Anolis sagrei: one gene and its partner. The protein of the gene in region 2 purifies or fractionates together with the protein of the main gene of each other region. This does not show direct contact. Links are inferred from orthologs where the notes say so. Each region holds a gene or a part of one and is shown on either strand. Other genes may lie near its edges.

Region 1 (7,884 bases), on a different chromosome or scaffold from region 2:
TACAAGACATATATATATATATACAATATATTATTAGCATAGTACAATATCAGTATTATATATTACTATATTGTACTATACCATTATATTGTAATATTACTAGTAACATCACATGTAATATAAAATATATAATTATATCATATTGTTAGTAGTATTATTATATTGTATTACATTATAATATTATAAATATTATATGTATATACAATATAGTACACTACATTATATTATATTATTAGCATAGCACAGGAAACAAGGTAAAACTGTCTTCTGGCCCCCTCTCTCTTCACTCTGGCCCAGAGCAGCAATTGGTGCTGGGGGAGTGGTCCCTAACTGATGACAAATGCAGGAGACAAGATGGAACTGTCCCCCCCCCCCCTTCACTCTGGCCCAGAGCAGCAGTTGGTGCTGGGAGGAGGGGTCCCCAACTGATGACATGAGGGCTTATTGTTAATATTTTTGTTGTTTTTGAATACAACAAATTACATCAAAACAAAAAAATTCCACCGTGAGCATTTCATTTTGTAATGCTTCTCCTTCTGTAAGTTTCAAAGGTAAAAGATCTGAGAAGCATATTTCTTTGAAATCAAAGTTAAAATATTTTCAATATGCTACATGCATCACACCCACCTTACTTTTTGACAGCTGCTCAAATCACTGGATCCTCTCATTTTAGAGCAATGGTTCCCAACTTTTAGTCTGACAGGTGCTTCAGACTTCAGTTCTTATAATTCCAAACAGCTGGTAAGCTGGCTAAGATTTCTGGAAGTTGAAGTCCAAAACACCTGGAGGACCAAAGGTTGGAAATCACTGTTCTAGAGGATCAAAAATCACTTACAAAATACAGAGTACTACCTTGAGTACAGCTATGCCTCTAAACATCTAAGAACACCAAAAACATTAAAAGCAAAATACACTTTTCAGTCACAAATGCAGTCACGTTATCTAGCAGAGGGAGGGCAAATTTCATAGAATCACAGCCTTCTTAGTAACTGGTGGGAAGGAGTGAGAGAGCTGAACAACAACTCCATACAGATGACATCTGACCCCAAAACTCCAGATGATCTCTCCCAGTGGCTTCATGTAAATGTTAAACAACATAGGGGGGAATACTGATCCCTAGGGGACCCCACAAGTCAATGGTTGTGAAGTAAAGCAGTTGTCCCCCATCAACACCTTTTGGGAACGACCCTCAAGGAACAAAGATAAATGATCTGTTTGTTCTTATGTTGAGGCCGAACAAACTCATATCAAATAGGACATCAAACATAAATGCTCATGTGAGGAGCTAGATAACTATTCATTCAAGGGCCTTCTGGACATATTTGAATGTTCAGGCATGCTAGCTACAATAAATTTACTACAGTTTGTTTGATGTTTCTCTACAAAGACAACCATCAACAGTACCTCTACAAGATCCTTTCTCGGTCGCAGCTTTAGAAGGGGCTCACTAAGTCGAATGGAGCACATTCCACCACGGCCTTCATAGCAGCAAACTCCTGCACATCTAGAAAATAATAAATCACAAACAACAAACATTTGCTTTCAACTGCAACTTGGCTGTTCTGTATTCATAATGCATTAGGGTTCTTACCTTGTTTGAAATAGAAGGTTGGACGATTGTTCTCCTTGGGGGTAAATAATCAGGACTTTTCTCTTTTACAGTAATTTGTTAGAAAATTTAAGATTGTGATTAGTGCCTATTTTTTTCAACACGTTTATTGATCAACAAGGGGAAGCTGTAGCCAAATATTAGTGTGAAAGTGGATACAATCTAATAAGTGTTGTTAGAGTAATGTCAGGTTCAGACATTGGGGAGCAAAAGGTAGGCATGATATAAGAGTTAGGTGTTAACTTGGATCCATAAGTCAATACTAAAAAGTAACTTTAAGGAGATAGACTCCATGTAAAACTTATTCCAGCAACAGAAATCACCTAGGATATTAAACAGCCTGGTTTCCAGGCCTATCTGAATTCGGCTACCCACTCCTGAGGTCTTTTATTCACAAAGGTTTCCTTACTTCTGAGATTCCTCTGCTCCCAAGAAAGATGACTCTTCTAGGGCTTAAGATGCATGTATCACTGACAGTAATTGCCAATGGCTGCATGTTCTTACTTGGACATTTCCTGCATGTAGCTAGATCATTCCTTCCATAAAAGATTGCTCCAGGCACTGCCAGGCAATCAAATGCTAATCAAGGTGGTCAGCTGAAACATTCACACCTAGCTCCAGCAGACAAGAGTCCTTTGTCTCACCCTGGTCATTCCACAGATATATAAACCCTTTTTCCTAGTTCCAACAGACCTCACTACCTCTGAGGATGCTTGCCATCGATGCAGGCGAAACGTCAGGAGAAATGCCTCTAGAACATATAGCCCGAAAAAACCTACAACATCCAGCTAGTATGAGAATTCTGGGATTGTGGTTTAATCTGAAAAGGAACATTTTAGTCCAGACTTGAGAGCCAAGGGTAGTTCTGACTACTGAACTATGCCTTGGGGAGGTGGTTGGACTGGATGGCCCACGAGGTCTCTTCCAACTCTATGATTCTATTGAAAGTTTCCCCACGCCTGGGCTAAGCCAACCCCTTAAAAGAGGTAAGGACACAGCCATAAATCCGAATAAGAAAATGTGTGGGGCACAACGTGTCCCATGAAACCGTACAGCGTCATGCGGGGGCTCCACTTCACCTCCACGGCCTCCAGGGCCCCCCAAAAGAGGCTCTGGTTGAACTGCAGGAAGAGGCCTCGCACGTCCGGGCTGGGATCCAGCAGCTCCCAGCTCTCGTCCACCAGCGACAGCGGCCGTGCCGGCGAGGTGAAGGCTGGGCCGGCCTTGAGGGAGGCCCGTGCGCGGCCGCCCTCCTCCGCGTTCCACTCCTCTTGGAGCCGCAGCGCCAGCAAGAAGTCGCCGTCCATTGGAGCACAGCCTTTCGTTGAGCCCTCCGCCTTCAAATCCCGGCGCATGCGCCGTAAAGCCGAGGGTTTGTTGTCTTCCTGCCTCGGAGAGAGTCGCGCGCCTCGCGTCACTGCGGCGCGGCGCCTTGACGTTTTTTACGCAGCGGCGCACGTAAGCGGCCTTCCGGTCAGAGGCGGCCCCTGCTTCCGGCGCAGCGACGCCTTGCTTCCTCTCCCTCCTCGGCGAAGGCTGGTCTCTGGCGGCTCCGGCTCGGCCATGGCGCTGTCTCTGGGTGAGGTGGCTCCGGGCGGCGGCGGCGGAGGAGGAGCGGGAGGGAGCCGCTTGAGGCGGCAGCTGGAGTCCGGGAGCTACGCGGCCGAGGAGTACGTGAAGCAGCTCTCGCAGCAGTCGGACGGCGACCGGGACTTGCAGGAGCACCGCCAGCGCATCCAGGCCCTGAGCGAGGAGACGGCGCAGAGCCTGAAGCGCAACGTCTACCAGAACTACCGGCAGTTCATCGAGACGGCGCGCGAGATCAGCTACCTGGAGAGCGAGATGTACCAGCTCAGCCACATCCTCACCGAGCAGAAGGGCATCCTGGAGGCCGTCACCCAGGCGTTGCTGCTCCTCCAGGCCGACCGCGACGACAGAGCCGCCGGGGCTGCCTCCTCGGACCCGCACGCCAACCCCTTCCTGCCCCTCTCCGCCAAGGAGGCGGCAGCCAGCGAGGAGGGCCGCCAGCGCACCCTGACCACCCTCCTGGAGAAGGTGGAGGGCTGCCGCGACCTGCTTCCGGAGAGCCCCGGCAAGTACCTGGTATACAACGGGGACCTGGTGGAGTACGACGCCGACCACATGGTCCAGATTCAGAAGGTGCACGCCTTCCTGATGAACGACTGCCTGCTGGTGGCGGCCTGGCTGCCCAACCGCCGGGGCACTTACCGTTACGACGCCCTCTACCCACTGGACGGCCTGGCCGTCGTCAATGTCAAGGATAACCCGCCCATGAAGGACATGTTCAAGCTGCTCATGTTCCCCGAGAGCCGCATCTTCCAGGCCGAGAACGCTAAGATCAAGAAAGAGTGGCTGGAGGTGCTGGAGGAGACCAAGAGGAGCCGCGTGCTGAGCGAGAAGCGGAGGCTGGAACAGGAGGTGCCGGCAGCCCGTGCGCCTCCCCCAGCCCCTCCAGAGGCTACCAACCCCTTCGATGAGGATGAGGAGGAAAGTGGGGAAGGGGGGACCCCAGAGGAAGAAGTGGTGGATCTCTCCCTGGAGTGGATTCAGGAGTTGCCTGAAGACTTGGATGTCTGCATCGCTCAGAGAGACTTCGAAGGGGCGGTTGACTTGCTGGATAAGCTGAATGAGTATCTAGGGGATAAGCCCTTGACACAACCAGTCAGGGAGTTACGAGCAAAAGTGGATGAGAGAATCAGGCAGCTCACCGACGTGCTTGTGTTTGAGCTTTCTCCAGATAGGTCACTTCGAGGTGGGCCCAGAGCAACCCGTCGTGCTGTTTCTCAGCTCATCCGGTTGGGCCAGTCAACCAAGGCGTGCGAACTTTTCCTGCGGAACAGGGAAGCGGCCGTTCACACAGCCATCCGACAGTTGCGCATTGAAGGTGCCACTCTGCTGTACATTCACAAGCTGTGCCATGTCTTCTTCACCAGCCTGCTAGAGACCGCAAAGGAGTTTGAGACGGACTTTGCTGGCAACAGTGGGTGCTATTCGGCTTTTGTTGTCTGGGCTCGATCAGCAATGAGGATGTTTGTGGATGCGTTTAGCAAGCAGGTGTTTGACAGTAAGGAGAGCTTATCTACTGCTGCTGAGTGTGTAAAGGTAAGGGCCCAAAGTGATGAGATGGAAAAAAAACTGTGTTACCCTTAATTACATATCCTCTAGATCACAGCTTCATAAAACTTTGGGTCCCAACCTCAAGCGGGGTTCCCTTTGCTCAATGTTGGAGTCCAGAAACATTTGTCAGCAGTAAACGTTTTCTGAATGTCAGCTAGTGGGTGTTTTGACATTTGCACAAATCTGTTGTGCAGTGTTCACAGTAATTCTACAGAAGATGCTTCAGGTATAGTTCATAAAAAGGAAAATCAGCCTGTTTAGCAAGCCTCACAAGTGCTGATTTCTTCTCACATCTATTGATGCCTATTCTATATATTTGTGTACCCACAAAAAATTCTTAGGTCAAAAGGCGTCATGAGTGGAAACGTTTTCCAAATAGTGTCCTTGAATTTAGAAGCAACATGGAAGCAAAGTATTGAGTCATCTAGCCCAGCTTCCTGAGACAGGATATTATTTTTGTAGGCAGTTATTTATGATGGCCGTGGCTTTGTGTGGTTCACTCATCCCAATGCTCAGCATTACTCCAGTCATTTTTCCTGTTTTGCTTTCTTATGTTTTCTAAAGATCTATTGCTGTTTTTCACAGCAGGATAATACCTGTTTTTCTTGCCTTCCTAACACTAAAGAACCCCGCCCTTTTATCATTTAGTAGATGAGGGAGGACAAGTTATGTACAAACTCCCTCTGTAGCTTGGCTTTATCCCAAATGGTTTGTTCACATACAGAAGTGAGGGTGTGGCTTGCCTGCCGAAGAAAGGCAGTATGTACTGAAAAACGTAGCAGAGAATATAGGGACTAAACTTGCAAGTGGTTGCAATAGTCAGGACAACCTAGCACTTTGAGCACTTAGTTTAATCGCATCTGGAAATTATTGGATGGGTAGAATTATATCCCAACACCACTCCTTTCTCTTCAATTCTTAGCACTGTGGAGTGTGTTAAAGATTGTCTTTTTCTTATGGCTGGAATGGTGGCAGAAATAGAAATAAATGCAGAGTCATGTACTGCTTTCTGCTTTCATGGCAGGTTTCTATTTACAAACTAATGTTAAAGATTTATGGACCTGACATGGCTCAAATTAATGTTGACTGTGCTATTTTGAAATTGATGCAGAAAGCATGTTGAAATTGACATGAGACCTATCACTTTAGGTAAATTTAGTCACAATTATTTTGTTCTATTCTTGTTAAGGGAATTAGGCACAATTCAAGTTTGTTGAAGACCGGCATAGTTCTCTAAGGTGGGGGTGGGGGTTAATCTCTCCTTGAATCTCTATTTTGAGAGAAAGCAGAATAAAAATGAAGCAGAATAAAGCAGAATAAAATGAATAAAATTTTGGGTTAAACCGAGAGAGAAGCTACATATGTTGGCTTCCTTCTAGTGAAATGAAATTCTCCATTTGGGTATTTCCTAGGAGTAATTACTACATATTCTAAGAATATGTCATGAAATCCAAGACCCAAATAAACTATTCTTAAAGGATAACTATCAAATGGTCTTTTAAAAAGCTCTGAGAAGTATATATCATAATATTTTAATGAACCAGAGAGGGAGAGCAATTCTTTATTCAGTCAGGTATTTCCAAAGTTATCAAAGCTCTTCAGTAAATCTTACAAAGTACTAACTGAATACACATGTATGCGTCTAAACATTTTATTGAAAAATATACCCAAACAAACTTGGGTCAGGGTAAGTACTGTGCCATAACTCCTATATAAAAAAGGATCCTTCATCTTCAATGAGTAGGGTGGCAAAAAAGAGAGCTTAGTTTGTACTGCAAGAATTGAAAGAGAACCGCTTCTGACCTTTTTGCATGCCTTGTTGGGGAAGAAGCTGACCCTCTGAAGCAGTAATGGTCCTTTCCTTTCTCCATATAATGACCCTCAACTTATCCAGTGGTCATACCATATCCAGTAGTCATATCAAAATCCATAATCTTGACTCTGAAGTGTGTCCACATGAATATACAGTATATGGTAGTTTCTTTTTAAATATACCTTGATATAATGTGTATTTTCCTGCTGCTTGTAGTAGGAGAATCATATACAGGGTTAGTCAAAATGCATAGGCCAATAAGCCATTCAATTAAATGGCTTATTGGCCTATGCATTTTGACTAACCCTGTACTTTTAGGGCATTGAGAGATCTGTTGTGCAACTAGTGTGAAGGTGTGGAAAAACTAGCATTGTGCCTTTTTTTGTAGGTGGCAAAAGAACACTGCAAGCAACTCAGTGAGATTGGCCTGGACCTGACTTTCATCATTCACACCCTATTAGTGAAAGATATCAAAGGTGCTTTGCAAAGCTACAAAGACATCATCATTGAGGCCACAAAGCACCGCAACTCTGAAGAGATGTGGAGGAAAATGAACCTAATGACACCAGAAGCTTTAGGGAAGCTTCGAGAAGAAATGAGGAGCTGTGGAGTCACCAATTTTGACCAGTACACTGGTGATGATTGCTGGGTGAACCTAAGCTACACAGTTGTGGCTTTCACCAAACAGACCATGGCTTTCTTGGAGGAGGCTCTCAAACTCTACTTCCCAGAGTTGCACATGGTTCTGTTGGAAAGTTTGTTGGAGATCATCTTTGTGGCTGTCCAGCATGTTGATTACAGTTTACGCTGTGAACAAGACCCTGAAAAGAAGACATTCATTAGACAGAATGCCTCTTTTCTTTATGAAACTGTTCTTCCTGTGGTGGAAAAGCGGTTTGAAGAAGGAGTTGGAAAGCCAGCTAAGCAGCTGCATGATCTGAGGAATGCTTCAAGACTAATGCGTGTGAATCCTGAAAGTACTACTTCTGTGGTGTGAACTGCAGTGCCTCAGTCCTTTTCATATTAAACTTTGTATATACATGTATACACATAACTTTTTTCAAACCCCCTCCCAATAGTAGCCAAATCTGATAATGTTCTCTTTAGCAGATAATGTATTGAAAAGAAATGGGAAAGCAAAGAAAAGGAAAACTTAAAAGAAACAATATAGTTGGAAATCCACATTCCCTCCAAAGATCTGGTTGTGCCATTTTAGGTCACATGAGATGGTTTGGTCTGGAACCTAACAAGTTAATCAAACATGGTTGTGCTAATTAGAATATGACCAAGAATAACTACTAATGAATATTCATTGGTTGTGTAG
Region 2 (7,151 bases):
CATACAAACATTAAAACTGACTTTGCCTTTCTCTGAGACTGAGGGCCCTTCCAGACAGGCCCTATATCCCAGGATTTGATCTCAGGTTTTCTGTTTATCCCAGATTATCTGGCAGTGTAGACTCACATAATCCAGTTTGAAGAAAAAAACCTGGGATCAGATCATGGGATATAGGGCTTGTCAGGAAGGGCCCTGAAAGGAACTTCTCCAAAGTCCCCCAATGGATTTGATGAGGCATTAGCATTTTTTGGTATAAAAGGATAAGGAACTTTGTAAAACTACAACTCCCAAGGTTGTGGAATCAAACTGTGTTAGTTCTACAGTGTAGATGCACCCAAATAGCAACACACTTGCACAAGAAAAAGACCTTGTATCACAAGTCTTGTAGCTAGTCTCTTTCAAAATGTCTGAACTCTGAAGATTGGGAGATTTTCTTTCCTTCTTCGTGTAAAGCGACCATTTCAGACTCATATAAATCATCTTAGGCCTTCATTCATGTTCAGTTTTTGGCATTCAACCAAGAGCCATGTGAAAATCCAGCACACAGAACATCCAGACCCAGAGTGGGAGGTATAGGCCGAAGCCAAAACAGATGGTTTAAACATTACAAAATGAAGATTAGAAAGTCTAACTGGATTTTGAAGAGACGAGAAAAGAAAAGCAGCATCTGAACTTCTTAAAAGTTCATTTAAATAAGAGCTTCATTGATCAAAGGTTAGTAGATTCTTGATAGAAAGCGTTACAGAGAGAGATCAAACTTACATGGATCTCTGAATAATTCCCATAATAATTATGCTTGGCTGTGGCTGATCTTGAGGGTCACATGAGTCCCACTATTGCCCTAGTCAGTAATTCTTTTAATTCTATTGACAGTGATTTGGTGCGATGATAAAAATTTAGGCCTCTATTCTTTTCGCAGCCTCTGAGGTTTGAACTTGATACCTATACTTTGGTTGTTGAAGATAAGATACAAGATATAGCAATACTTACTGCTTAGCTTGGTTGACATGAACACCCAAGGTGTAGCTGAGCCATTTGTAGGTCACCTGTAATGGGAAACACAACAGTCTTAACATACAACAAATACCAACTCCAGCCTCCGTAGAAGTGTCAAACATAATAACACAATGGCAGATGATGCTCATAAGACCCTCATGTTGTGTGCCTTCAAGTCATTTCGAACTTAAGCTGACCATATGGCAGGCATAGGCAAACTTTTATTCAGACAGACATTTATTCCAAGAAACTTTGACAAGCACTGAAAAACAGGAGCTTTTTTGTTGAGTTCCAGGGCCAGAGAAGCAGATGACGGAAACAGAAGAACGGCCTGCCTCAGGGAAGCGTGCTTGCCCCATCCATGTTCAACATCTACACAAATGACCAGCCACTGCCAGAAGGGACAGAGTTTCATCTATGCTGATGATCGTGCCATCACCGCTCAAGCAGGGAGCTTTGAGATGGTAGAACAGAAGCTCTCCGAAGCTCTAGGTGCTCTTACTGCCTACTACAGGGGAAACCAGCTGATCCCCAACCCATCTAAAACGCAGACATGTGCTTTTCACCTTAAGAACAGACAAGCATCCCGAGCTCTGAGGATTATTACCTGGGAAGGCATCCCCCTGGAGCATTGCTGCGCACCCAAATACCTGGGAGTCACTCTGGACCATGCTCTTACCTACAAGAAGCACTGCCTGAACATGAAGCAAAAAGTGGGTGCTAGAAACAATATCATACGAAAGCTGACTGGCACAACCTGGGGATCACAACCAGACACAGTGAAGACATCTGCCCTTATGCTTGGCTACTAAAACAGTGGATGTGGCTCTTAATGAGACATGCTGCATTTTAGGTCTGTGCCCTACACCACTGGAGAAATTGCACTGCTTAGCCGGTATTGCACCACCTGTTCCGATGTGCCTTTCCAGAATAGGAAAACTCCAGCAATATGTCCCAGAAGCACTTTATCAGAGTTTTAAGATTGCCTGCACACTGCACTTACCCTAAAATCCGGCATACCAACTGTCACACCCAGCACTTTTTAATCTGTACCCATCACATTTGGCCCGGCCCTTCCTAAAGACTGCCAATGTAGGGGCTTGCCTGATGTCTTTGGGGAGGGTGTTCCAAAGTCGGGGGGCTACCACAGAAAAGGTCCTGTCCCGCGCCCCCACCAAACGCGCCTGTGACGCAGGTTTCCTATGAGGCGGGTGAGGTGGTCGTCCTTTGTGATACTATACATTTTTCTCAGGAGGAGGTGGTGGTTCACAGTCTCATAGGCTGCTGACAGGTCTATGAAGACAGTTCCTGTGATCTGCTGCCTTTCAAAGCCATCTTCTATGTGCTGAGTCAGGTTCAGCACTTGCGATGTGCAGCTTCTGCCTTTCCTGAAGCCAGCTTGCTGTGGGATCAGACAGGGGTCTATTTTCTCCATAATTCTATGCAAAATAAGTCTCTCCAGAACTTTGTAAAGGTGATACAACAAGGAGGAGACTGGTCTATAGCTTGTAATACTAATAGTAGATACATAACTGCTTTGGGTCTCTTTTGTGGAGAGAAAAAGCTGTGTATAAATAAACATAATAATAATAATAATAATATATTCTGATACTAATAATAGGGGAATGTTCCCCCTTCTTTTTTGTTTTGGGACTACAACTCCCAGCACCCGCAACCAGCTCTTTAGTTCATCATAGTGCTGCTCATCCAAAGCTAGGCCTTGTTTGGAGGCATGTCTGTGTGTGAAGGGGATGCTGGGAGTTGTAGTCCAACTCCCCCCCCCCCCTTCCTCGGTTCCCCAAAACTCACGACGCGGTTCTGGTCCGTGACGAACTCGTCGATGTTCTCCAGGTAGAGCTCGTCCTCCATGATGCCTGCCTGCCTTCCTCCTCTTCCTCCTTCCTTCCTTCCTTTTCACCTTCGCGCGCAGAAAACTCCCGCCGCTTGGCTAGGCCGCCTCTCCATGGCAACGACGGTGGTCGCGAGGGGACACGCCGGAAAAAGTGCCTTTGGCGCGCGCGCGTACGCAGGCACGCCTCCGACGGCAGCCCCCGAGGGACTTTTTTCCCCCCTGAAGGCAAAAAGCGAAATCCAATCTGGAAAGGCTGCAGAAGGGTGCAGTGCCTCTACTGGCGGAGTTGTAGTAGTGCACCCCATAATAAAATATAGTAGGTTTCTCATCTGAAATTTAAGCACAGAGAGATATTGGGTTGTTGTAGATTTTTTTGGGGCTATATATGGCCATGTTCTAGAGGCATTTTCTCCTGACGTTTCACCTGCATCTATGGCAAGCATGCCCAGAGGTTATGAGGTCTATTGGAACTGGGAAAATTGGTCTATAGGTTTATAGGAAAATAGGTATATATATCTGTGGAATGACCAGGGTGGGACAAAGGACTCTTGTCTGCTGGAGCCAGGTGTGAATGTTTCAACTGACCACCTTGATTAGCATTTGATAGCCTGGCAGTGCCTGGAGCAATCTTTTCTTGAGAGGTGATTAGATGTCCCTGATTGGGTTGTTGTAGGTTCTGGAGGCAACATGGCCATATAGCCTGGAAAAACCTACAACAACCCAGTGATTCCAGCCATGAAAGCCTTCGACAATATCCCTGATTGTTTTCCCTCTGTTCTTGTGCTGTTTTAATTTTAGAGTTTTTTTTAATACTGGTAGCCAGATTTTGTTCATTTTCATGGTTTCCTCCTTTCTGTTGACATTGTCCACACACTTGTGGATTTCAATGGCTTTTCTGTGTCGTCTGACATGGTGGTTGTGAGAGTGGTCCAGCATTTCTGTGTTCTCAAATAATATGCTGTGTCCAGGTTGGTTCCTCAGGTGCTCTGCTATGGCTGACTTCTCTGGTTGGAGTAGTTTGCAGTGCCTTTCATGTTCCTTGATGCGTGTCTGGGCAATGCTGCGTTTGGCGGTCCCTCTGTAGACTTGTCCACAGCTGCATGGTACACGGTAGACTCCTGCAGAGGTGAGAGGATCCCTCTTGTCCTTTGCTGAACGGAGCATTGGTTGGATTTTCTTGGTGGGTTTGTAGATTGTTTGTATGTTGTGTTTCCTCATCAGCTTCCCTCTGCGGTCAGTGGTTCCCTTGATGTATGGCAGGAACCCTTTTCCTCTGGGTGGATCTTCATCTTTACTCTCGTGGCTTCTTCTCGGTTGTCTTGCAGCTCTTCTGATGTCTGAGGTGGAGTCTACATTGGCCTGGAGAGCCCAGTTGAGGTGGTCCAGTTCATCTTGGAGGAGGTGGGCTTCACAGATTCCTTTTTGCACGGTCTGCCAAGGCTTTAATGGGGCTTCTTTTTTGACTTGGGTGATGGTTGGAGTTTTTATGTAGATCTCTATCCGTGTGTGTGGGTTTTCTGTAAACGGTGTGAGCCAATTGTTGATCTGGTTTGCGGATGACTAGTACATCTAGAAAAGGCAGTCTTCCTTCCTTTTCTTTTTCCATGGTGAACTGGATGTTTGAATGGATGCTGTTCAGGTGGTCCAGGAACCTTTTCTAGATGTTCTAGTCATCCGTAAACCTGATCAACAATTTACAGAAACCCCCCACACACAGATAGATATCTACATAAAAACTCCAACCATCACCCAAGTCAAAAAAGAAGCACCATAAAAAAGGTGATTTTCTGGATTGTATTAGAGTTGTGTGGACTTTGCTTTTATGGACTTCGCTGAACTCTACCAGCAACTAATTTGTTCCTACTTATCTTCTTACCTAATTGGATTTACCCATTTCTTTAAAGTGCCTTTTGTTTTACTGTTCATGTACTTATCATCAATAAAAGGATTGGTTTTTTTTTTTTTTTTCCTATTCAGTGTGTGGTGTTTAAAGACAGAGGATTATTCTTTTCCTGGAGTGCAACAAATGAGGTCCCCCATGACCTCCTGGCAAGGAAACTAGTCCAATGTGGGCTAGCCAAAACTACAGTAAGGTGAATCTGGAATTGGTTAAATGGACGAACCCAGAGGATGATTCTCCCTAAGGCTTCCTCCTCTTCATCCTGGAAAGAAGTGACAAGTGGAGTGCCATCAGGAGGGTTCCCTCCTGGGCCCGGTCCTGTTCAGGATCTTCGTTCATGACTTAGAGGAAGGGCTAGAAAGCAGAACCATCAAGTTTGCAGACGAATACCAAATTGGGAGGGAGAGCCAATACTCCAGAGGATGGGAGCAGGATTCAAAACGATCTTGACAGATTAGAGAGATGATTGGCCAAAACTAACAAAATGAAGTTCAACAGGGACAAATGCAAGATACTCCACTTAGGCAGGAAATACAAAATGCAAAGATACAAAATGGGGGACAATGCCTGGCTCGAGAGCAGTTCGTGTGAAAAAGATCTTGGAGTCCTCGTGGACAGGAAGGTGAACATGAGCCAACAATGTGATGTGATGGCCAAAAAAGCCAATGGGATTTTGGCCTGCATCAAGAGGAGCATAGTGTCTACATCCAGGGAAGTAATGCTCCCCATGCTGTATTCTGCTTTGGTTAGACCACACCTGGAATGTTGTGTCCAATTCTGGGCACCACAATTAAAGAGAGATGTTGACAAGAGGAGGGTGACTCAAATGATCAAGGGTCTGGAGAACTAGCCCTATGAGGAGCGGCTTAAGGAGCTGGGCATGTTTAGCCTGAAGAAGAGAAGGCTGAGAGGAGATATGATAGCCATGTATAAATATGTGAGAGGAAGCCACAGGGAGGAGGGAGCAAGCTTGTTTTCTGCTTCCTTGGAGACTAGGACGCGGAACAATGGCTTCAAACTCCAAGAGAGGAGATTCCATCTGAACATGAGGAAGAACTTCCTGACTGTGAGAGCCGTTCAGCAGTGGAACTCTCTGCCCCGGAGTGTGGTGGAGGCTCCTTCTTTGGAAGCTTTTAAGCAGAGGCTGGATGGCCATTTGTCAGGGGTGATTTGAATGCAACATTCCTGCTTCTTGGCAGAATGGGGTTGGACTGGATGGCCCAGGAGGTCTCTTCCAACTCTTTGATTCTATGATTCTATGACCTACCAATAATGAGCTGTTCTTCTTCCTGCCGTAGGGATCTCTTCCTCCGATCTGTGATGAAAGGGAAACCCCTGGCCAATCTATGTCTGGATCCTAGCTGGGTCATTTCTCAATCAATCAGGAGGAGGCACAGGAAGTCTGATCCCCCAGTATGTAACAGTCAGTGTTTAAGGATAACACCGAGTCTTCTGGAGTGGAAAAAAGCAGGATTTTATTTACAGCTGGGCTCACCAGCAAGATCACTTCTTCATTCTTGGAAGCCCCGAATCTTGAGTTATAACGGGTTGGAGTTCGTACAAACATTCCATTGTCATTTGGTAAGAGATTGTCTATCGGGTATCCTCAGGTCTTGTGATGGAGTTCACACACCTATTTCTTGAGCATTCATTTGCTTTTGTGACTAAGCCACTTTTCTAATCTTGCATTTTTACTCAGTGATTCTGGCCAAGAAAGCCTTCAATAACAAAGGTGTACCCTTTCAAAATGTGTATAAAAAGTCACATATTTGTCCATGGAGTTCCTGAGTCGCCTGAGGGCTGAGAAGAGCAGTATACAAATACAGTAAATAAATAAATAATCTCAAGGGATGCAGCTACACTATAGAATTGATATGGTTTGATGCCATTTTAACTGACATGCTATGGAATCATGGGATTTGCAGTTGTACAATCCTTTTCTGGCATAGATTGCTGATTCCTCACCAAACTACAAATCCAAGGACTAAATTGCAGCAAGCCATGGCAGTTAATGAGGTAGGAAATTGCATTTATTCTGCAGTGTGGATGCACCCATATCCAAATTTCAAATATTCAACAGCCTACATCTATATCTATATCTATATCTATATATCTATATATCTATATCTATATATATATATAGGTCGTGTCAGAAGCAACCTGAGAAACTGCAAGTCGCTTCTGGTAATGTGGAACAGTCATTGAGGGCATCCCAGACCAATGCCTTCAAGCTGATCTGACCAGCCGCAGGGAGTTCCATAGTTCCTGAATGCCAAGTTGGGCCAACTGATGAAATGTGCCCCAGCAGCAGCCTCAACCAGGGACTCTTTACAGCCGTGTGCTCCTTTCACTCCTTTTACCATCCCAAACTATGTAACCAATAACTCAATAAAGGCTAATCGA

The links. The genes of interacting proteins can lie anywhere in the genome.
Region 1: the proteins of POLD3 (region 2) and SPRTN purify together in Homo sapiens (affinity purification with mass spectrometry; 3 studies listed by BioGRID, with this or other methods). This does not show direct contact. The link is inferred for Anolis sagrei from reciprocal best matches to the Homo sapiens genes POLD3 and SPRTN.

Annotation. Positions count from the first base shown.
Region 1 is NC_090021.1:60,852,528-60,860,411, forward strand, and holds the start of SPRTN (DNA-dependent metalloprotease SPRTN), read right to left. Parts: upstream 3,010-7,884; 5' UTR 2,965-3,009; coding exon 2,663-2,964; intron 1,505-2,662; coding exon 1,405-1,504; intron 1-1,404. Other genes in the region: EXOC8 (exocyst complex component 8), read left to right, coding at 3,173-4,732, 6,949-7,557. UniProt on the Homo sapiens protein: DNA-dependent metalloendopeptidase that mediates the proteolytic cleavage of covalent DNA-protein cross-links (DPCs) during DNA synthesis, thereby playing a key role in maintaining genomic integrity.
Region 2 is NC_090023.1:5,090,993-5,098,143, reverse strand, and holds the start of POLD3 (DNA polymerase delta subunit 3), read right to left. Parts: upstream 3,011-7,151; 5' UTR 2,866-3,010; coding exon 2,806-2,865; intron 1,047-2,805; coding exon 991-1,046; intron 1-990. UniProt on the Homo sapiens protein: Accessory component of both the DNA polymerase delta complex and the DNA polymerase zeta complex.